2 linked regions of the Macaca fascicularis genome follow. The protein of the gene in region 1 interacts with the protein of each later gene in a biochemical or structural test. Links are inferred from orthologs where the notes say so. Each region holds a gene or a part of one and is shown on either strand. Other genes may lie near its edges.

Region 1 (4,243 bases):
CCGAGTAGCTGGGATTACAGGCGCTCGCCACCACGTCAGGCTAATTTTCTATTTTTAGTAGAGACGGGGTTTCACCATGTTGGGGCCAGGCTGGTCTGGAACTCCTGACCTCAGGTGATCCACCAGCCTCGGCCTCCCAAAGTGCTGAGAATACGGGCATGAGGCACCATGTCTGGCCAGAGGTAAAGCTTCTTAAGGTAATCCGACAAAATGAGAAAAAGAGACCTTGAAGAGAAGTGTGGGTGGCTATCACCAACATGGTATTTGGGGGCAGTTCTCATCATTGTTTATCAAGGCTGCAGAATAGCTGTATTCACCTTTCTCTTTTACTACCCTTTAAATGATTGACCTATGTGTAGTGTGTATTTTTTTAAAATACAGGAAGCAGCAACACTCAGTATGAGAGGATAATTTGCGTGCTAAGAGTAAATGGGGAAGCAAACAGTAAATAGAGACAAACGGGCAAAGGTTGAGTCATAGGGAACCTGGACTTGCCTCAAGTATTTGTGGTTGGTAGTAGCTCATTATGTGTGCCTAGACACCAGGTGGGGCCCCCGCAGGCCAAGCAAACGTCAAGACCAGTTTCGCACCCTTGTTCCTCTAGCTCCGGACCAGCCAGAGCCACCTACTCGGATCATGTTCGCAGAACCCAGCACTGTTTCGAGGCCAGATGCACCATTTCAGAAATTCAGTGGGAAATAAGCAGTGTGGATAAACTGATACCCCATTTTTAAAAGTCGGCCTGGGTTCGCATTCAGAAGAAATGTCGACGCTAGCCATTTTTTTTATAAATGGGTGATTTGATAACTCAGGGAGGTCTTTCCACTGTAATAAAAATTTGCTTGTTAGAACTGGGTGTTTTCTAAGAAGTGTATGGAAAAAGCCTTGATTCGTCTTCGCCCTGGGTGGTTTTTACGTCGAACACCTACAACTGCTACAGAAATCCCCCCGCGGGACTTTTGATGTCTTCTAGGGCATTCTTAAAACTAGACCCATTCCTAAGCGACTCCCACCTCCCAAACCAGCCATATGCTTTAGTTTCTCCAGTTTCCAATTTTCTAAATCTTCAACGTCTCCCCTCGAATTAGTCCAATCAAACTTTCTCTTCTTAGACCTCTTCCTTACGTTCGCACCAGGAAACTCCCAGGAGAATCACGTGCCCAGGCTTGTCCTTAATGGCGCTCCGTAACCCTCCCACTATTCCACCACCCTTCCTCGCCTCCCGTGAGCTCCGCCCCGCCCCATTCGCGCTTCCCACCCCCATCCCCCGCGAAGTGCTTGCGCCTGCGCAGCTCCAATTCAGGCGCTTTCCCTTTCCTGGCGACCAATCCACTTCCTGCCTCGGGTCCTCGGAACACTCCACCTCTCCGCTGGGGCCCTGGCTTGAGGTGCTGGTAGTGGCTACCTTACGCATTACCTGTCTGAAAAATTCGCTCTTCTCATCGACTGGGGAATTTGGAAGAGCCATTAAGTGGGTGGCACTTATATGAGCCTTTGCCTCGGACCCGCCACCCCAGAGTCAAGCTGAGGGCATCGGCATGCCGCGGGGAGGGCGATCAGGACTGTTTTTAATCGGGCAGTCGCGCGGACGGCCTTTTCCCTCTCGCCTCCTTCCGCCCCGCCCCCACTCTCAGCCCGGCCGCGCTGGTGAGTGGCGGGCGGGAGGGCCGGCGGGCGGAGGGAGGAGGGGGAGCTAAGGGAAGGCGGGCCCTCGGCTGCGAGATAGGTGGGGGGAGGGGAGGGGAGAGCCCGAGCGCTGGAGTTGGTGCTGGGAAACCCGGGGCTAATGTTGACAACAGGCTCGAGGTGAGTCCCGGGGATCCTCCTTCCCCTCCGCTCCAACGATCGGGAAGAAACGGGGCTGGGGGGCACCGGCCTAGAGTCCTACTCCCTGGGGGACCCCAGAGGCGACTCCGCACTCTAGCTCTCCGGGGTCGGCGAGCAGTGGAGGGACCGCGGGTCCGGCGTCGTTCTTCTCAGACCCCCTCTCTCCGAGGCTCCCATCAACGCGGGAGCCCCCGGGCCGGGCCGGGCATGGGGGGCGGTGGAGGAGGTGCCTGCCCCACATGCCTGGGCCGGGCCTCGGGGCTGGAGGCGGGGAGCCCGCGGTGGAGGGGCGAAGGTGTTCGGGGGCGTGGAGGAGAGCGAGGGGAGGTCGGGGGAAGCTCCTCGAGAGCCGGGAGGGAAGCGAGGGCGAGGAAGTGGGGAGGGCGCGTGTGTGGGAGGCTGCGGAGTGGGGAGACCGGCCGGGGAGGCTTCTGTGGCGAGGGAGTGTGGGGCGAGAAGTTGGGGTTGGGGCAGCGATGGTCTGCGAAGGTGACCGTGGATACCTGTGGGAAGGGGAGTTGTGGCGGGGAAGTGGTGTGGTGGGTGTAGACGTTGCCACACCACCAGAGCAGGGGTTTGTAGGAGAGGTGTGTGTAGGCGAAGGGGCTTGGGGTGTATCTGGGGATGGTGGGCATGGGCTGTTTGGTTGACTTCCTTTTAATCACATAGGCTGGTTATTCTTCACTTTGCCTTCACCCCTTCAAGACTCCAGGCACTCTCTTCTTGCTAGGACTGTTGGACTAAGGAAGTGACCACAGGATATTTGGTCCCCAGGTTGGCAGAGCAGAGCCAGCTGGGTCCACTCTGGGGTGATCGGACCTTCAGTTGCCTTGCTCTTCTTGGAGGACTTACACGACACGAAGTGATGCATCAGATCAAAGTGAAACGCTCGCTGACGCTTTATCTCATTTCCATAGTTCTTAGGTGTTCCTTAACATCGTCAGTCTCCTCATTTGTGAGCTGGGACAATTTCTAACAATTCTTAACTAAACGTCCTTTATACTAAGGATGTTCTTTAAAAAATAAAGTCAGAAACTGAGAGAGAGTGTTCCTGTGCTGTTCTGTCCTTACAACATTTTGACTAAGAATTGAAAGGTGAAACAGCATTCTCTCACTCTGGAGTATTTTCGGAGCACTCTGATTGGGATTTCATACATAACCCATATGGTACTTTGCAAGGGAATATCTTTAAAAAGGAAACACCCCCTTTTGTGCCCTCTTCCCCCCAGTACACTCCACTGGTACTTTTACTAGTAAATTAGTTTTACTTTCTTTTGGGAGTTCAGAATATATTTAGAATACCAAATAAAATATACAGTTCAAGTGACAGGACACTATTTTGGGAGCTAGGAAGGTGGTTTTAAAGCATGGTTTCCTTTTAAGGGTAGTCTGAATATAAATTGTATTCAGCAAACTAATTTGTAACAGCTAATCGGATTCCAGCGAAAAGATCACGATTTTTTCTTGTTACTATCTTGAGAAAGGACCTTTTTAAAATTGTAGTTTGGACTAGAAAAACTTTTGGAAACACTTTAGATGACAAGTTTGGCTGTTAAAGCTTGAAGTTATTGAAATAAGAATTTTAGTATTTTATTAAATATCACTTAGTGCTCAGTTTCTTTTCTTTTTTTTTTTTTTTTGAGACGGAGTCTAGCTCTGTTGCCCAGGCTGGAGTGCAGTGGCCAGATCTCAGCTCACTGCAAGCTCCGCCTCCCGGCTTTACGCCATTCTCCTGGCTCAGCCTCCCGAGTAGCTGGGACTACAGGCGCCTGCCACCTCACCCCGCTAGTTTTTTGTATTTTTTAGTAGAGACGGGGTTTCACCGTGTTAACCAGGATGGTCTCGATCTCCTGACCTTGTGATCCGCCCGTCTCGGCCTCCCAAAGTGCTGGGATTACAGGCTTGAGCCACCGCGCCCGGCCAGTGCTCAGTTTCTTAAGTGGACATAAAACAAACGTGTTTTGAGGTGAATCATGGTGTTTGTATATTTTATTCGTTTTAGTGTAGGTAGTGAAAAAGAGTACTGGGTAGTGAGTGTTGATCCAGCCATGGAAACTATCTGTGTAATCTTGGGTAGGTGACTCTGCTGCTGTCCTTGGAATGTAAAAATTGAGGATAGAAGTAGATAAAATCTAATAGTCTTTATTTGACTTTACAAATCTCTCATTGTATGCTGAACTTCTCAGTGTTCTTTGTGAGCGAACATTTATTAATGCCTCCCTCGTGCTAGTTACTATGCTAGAATTTTAAGAACTTTACAAGATAGATAGCAGTATATCCTTCTTATTGATAAATACGTGGACTCAGAGAAGTTGTTGCCTGATTTCTGTAGCTATCAGGCTGCAGAGTTGGGAGGCAGATTTAAAATCTATCGACTTCCAAGCCCATGTATGTTGTTTTCACAAGTTGCATTGCT
Region 2 (3,810 bases), on another chromosome or scaffold:
GGAGGTTGCAGTGAGCTGAGATCATGCCACTGCCTCCCAGCCTGGGCGACGGAGTGAAAAAATACGTATGTGTATGTACGTATATATATGTGTGTGTGTGTATATATGTAAAATATATGTAACATGGCCAGGTGTGATGGCTCACTCCTGTAATCCCAGCACTTTGGGAGGCTAAGGCGGGCAGATCGCTTGAGGTCAGGAGTTTGAGACCAGCCTGGCCAGGATGGTAAAACCCTGTCTCTACTAAAAATAAAAAAATTAGCCAGCCGTCATTGTGCGTGCCTGTAATCTCAGCTACTTGGGAGACTGAGGTATGAGAATCACTTGAACCTGGGAGGCAGAAGTTGCAGTGAGCCGAGGTGTCACTACATTCTAGCCTTGGTGACAGAGCGAGACTCTGTCTCAAGAAAAGTCACAAAATTTATACCGTACTGTTTTCCACAGCAACTGTGCCATTTTACATTCCCACCAGTAGTGAGCAAGTCAGTCCTTATTTCCGGTTCTACTTTGTTGTTGTTGTTTAGTTTTTTAAATAGAGACGGGGTCTCGCTAAGTTGCCCAGGCTGGTATCAAGCGATTTCCCCCACCTTGGCCTCCCAAAGTGCTGGGCTACAGGCGTGAACGGCCGCCCCGCCGTTGTTTTGATGGTCTCTGGCCTAAGCCTGTGCTTTTGATGTCATATGCAAAAACCCATTGCCAAATCCATTGCCGTGGAGCTTTTTCCCCTGTGTTTTTTCCTAAGTGTTTTATGGTTTCAGGTCTTATATTTAGGTTTGATCCTTTTCGAGTTACTTTTTGTATATGGTGTTAGGTAAGGGTCCAACTTCATTCTTCTCGCTATGGATATCCAGTTTTCCCAGCACTAGCTGTTGAAAAGACTTTCTTTTCCCCATTGAATGGTCTGGGCACCCTTTTCAAAAATCAGTTGACCAAATATTACAAAGGTTTCTTTCTGGGCTCTTTATTTTATTCCCTCGATGGATGTGTCTGTCTGTGTGGCAGTACCACACTGATTACTTTTAGCTTTGGAATCAGGGACTATGTCATCTGCCATTGAATGAGTATCCACTGTGTGCTAGGCCTTGTGGGTGGAGCGGTGACTTGGACATCATCCCTGCTGGTCCAGTGCCCTACTGTCTCCCTGATTCTGACTTTATTCTGGATAGTGGAGGTTGGCACAAAAATGGCTCCCAGATAAGGGAGTTATAATTCAGTCACCTGACCATTACTGACAAGTCTAAAAATGACTCAGTGGGTTTAGTACCAAGGTAGCAGTGTTCCATTTGATGATTTGGCATATAGCAGGTTCTCTTAGTGAACATTTCTCTTTGTGTATTCATTTTTCCCCCACATAGCAACAAAGTTAGTTTCTAATGGCTTCCATTCTCTACTTTTATCAGAAGCAGATTTCACCTGGAATATTCTATAAACCCTTTGAAGCTCTCAATTTTAGCCATGGTGTCCTCTAAGCAAAGTAATTTTCTTAAACTTAAATAACAAATTGATAGTTGAATTAACCTTTTAAAATAAAATGTAAAACGTAGTTAAGAAATCTGATTATTTAAAGGTATTCCAACAATAAATTATTTGGGATGGGGCTGGGGAGGTCAGGTTTATTGAGGTGTAAGTTATATATGGTAGAAGTCACCCTTTTAAAGTGAACAATTTGATGAATTTTGAACAAATTCAGTTACACAACCACCACAACATGATGGATTGTTTTGTTTAATAAATAATTGTTCTTCCTACCATGAGTTCATCCTTGTTTTAGTCTGGAGTTTGCCATGTGAAAGTTGCAGGTGCTTGAAAATGTAATTGTAGGTTTTTAAATTTTTTTTTTTTAATCTCTTACTGGAAGGATGAATTATAGTTTAAATAGTAATAATACATTGTCATTGTTACACTTACTCTTTAAGTAAGCTAGGTCATTATTTTCTAAAATGAATGTAGTAGAATTTCAGAATGGCTTCTGGAACATGTTTCCTGTTAAAAGGCCTAGAATATCCTGCAGTGGTAGAGTTTGCTCCGTTCCAGAAGATAGCCAAAAAGAAGCTGAAAAAAAAAGATGCCAAGACTGGAAGCATCGAAGATGGTGAGCCCTTTCCAAGTGCTACATTATGAAGCTGCCAAATTAAGAACACTGAGCAAATGTAATTCTCCTGTAGATGGGAAAGATTATATTTATTTTCTTTCTGTTTTTTTTAATGTCTAGATCCAGAATATAAGAAGTTTTTAGAAACTTACTGTGTGGAGGAAGAGAAGACCAGCACCAACCCTGAGACTCTGCTGGGGGAGATGGAGGCGAAGACAAGAGAGCTCATTGGTCTGTGCTCATTTCTTCTCTTTTCTTTATTGAGAGATTTACTCGTAGAGGATATACTTTTTTTTTTCTTGATTGTGATAAGTTGAAACTTGTTACAGGCTTGGCAGAAATGTAGAGTAATTTCCAGTTTTGACAAAAGAATGGCAAGATGGCCGCATGGGAAAATATTTCTGAGCATTGGTTGATGGAGAGCACGTGATTTTTTTAGTTACGATCCTTTTAAGTTGTGATGCTTCGGAATGAGCAGTGGCGAAGACACATGAATGGCATGTGCCTGACAGCGTCAGGGAAAGCGCGTTGTGTCGCAGAGTTGAAGTCAGTGGTCACAGACGGATGCCTCAGGAGCCCGTAGGAATGAGATGTTTTGCTCGTGGTGAGGTCATCTTGCTGCTCTTCAACAGCAATGCCAGGCTCCCTGAGCCAAGCCAAGCCAGCTTGTGGATAAGCCCGGCCAGAGCACAGAATCGAGTTTAAATCCAGCCTTCCACCCCATGCCCACAAGTCGTGTACTTTAGAAATAGTTCTCCGTAGCACTGACGTGAAAATCAGGCAGACAGTTGTCGTTTAGTCCCAGACACACCTGGAAGTGTTTCTCCTCTCTGTGGATCTCCTTTCCTCAAAGCCCCCGTTCTTCACCCCTCACCTCTCCCACCCAGGCTGTGCCCTGCCCCCCCATCAAGAGGAATGTACTTTGGGAGGCCAAGGCGGGCGGGTCACAAGGTCAGGAGTTCGAGATCAGGCTGGTCGACGTGGTGAAACCCCGTCTCTACTAAAGATACAAAAACTCAGGTGGGCATGGTGGTGGGCGGCTGTAGTTCCAGCTACTCGGGAGGCTGAGGCAGGAGAATCGCTTGAACCCAGGAGGCGGAGTTTGCAGTGAGCTGAGATCACACCACTGCACTCCAACCTGGGCGACAGAGCGAGACTCCATCTCAAAAAACAAACAAAAGAAATTGATGTGTCATGACAGCCACATTGTCCGTCTCCCACCACATAAACTCCCTCGTTTGGTTTCCCCAGTGGAACTATATTTTCATCTTCACAGTTGCCACACAGAAAAGAAAAGTTCAGGAATTTTGTAAATGTTGATTGAATTAATAAGAAAGGTCAATGTTATTGAAATAGTCCACTCACTTTCTTCATTTGTCTAATAATAAAGCTTTTTTTTTTTTTTTCTGAGACGGGGCCTCACTCTGTTGCCCAGGCTGGAGTGCAGTGGCACAATCTCAGCTCACTGCAACGTCTGCCTTCTGGGTTCAAGCAATTCTGCCTCAGCCTACTGACTAGCTGGGATTACAGGCACCTGCCATCATGCCCGGCTAATTTTTATATTTTTGTGGAGATGGGGTTTCACCATGTTGGCCAGGCTGGTCTTAAACTCCTGACCTCAGATGATCCGCCCACCTCAGCCTCCCAAAGTGCTGGGATTACAGGCATGAGCCACCACGCTTGGCCGTAATAAAGCTTTTGATCGCTAAAGTAAACAA

Evidence for each region.
Region 2: the proteins of UPF2 (region 1) and UPF3A form a complex in vitro, tested with the Homo sapiens proteins (2 studies listed by IntAct, with this or other methods). The link is inferred for Macaca fascicularis from reciprocal best matches to the Homo sapiens genes UPF2 and UPF3A.

What each region holds. Positions count from the first base shown.
Region 1 is NC_088383.1:12,953,819-12,958,061, reverse strand, and holds the start of UPF2 (regulator of nonsense transcripts 2), read left to right. Parts: upstream 1-1,301; 5' UTR 1,302-1,647; intron 1,648-1,719; exon of another isoform or gene 1,720-1,806; intron 1,807-4,243. UniProt on the Homo sapiens protein: Involved in nonsense-mediated decay (NMD) of mRNAs containing premature stop codons by associating with the nuclear exon junction complex (EJC).
Region 2 is NC_088391.1:104,525,650-104,529,459, forward strand, and holds part of UPF3A (regulator of nonsense transcripts 3A), read left to right. Parts: intron 1-1,950; exon of another isoform or gene 1,951-1,953; coding exon of another isoform or gene 1,954-1,993; coding exon 1,994-2,092; intron 2,093-2,212; coding exon 2,213-2,323; intron 2,324-2,979; coding exon of another isoform or gene 2,980-3,203; exon of another isoform or gene 3,204-3,335; intron 3,336-3,810. UniProt on the Homo sapiens protein: Involved in nonsense-mediated decay (NMD) of mRNAs containing premature stop codons by associating with the nuclear exon junction complex (EJC) and serving as link between the EJC core and NMD machinery.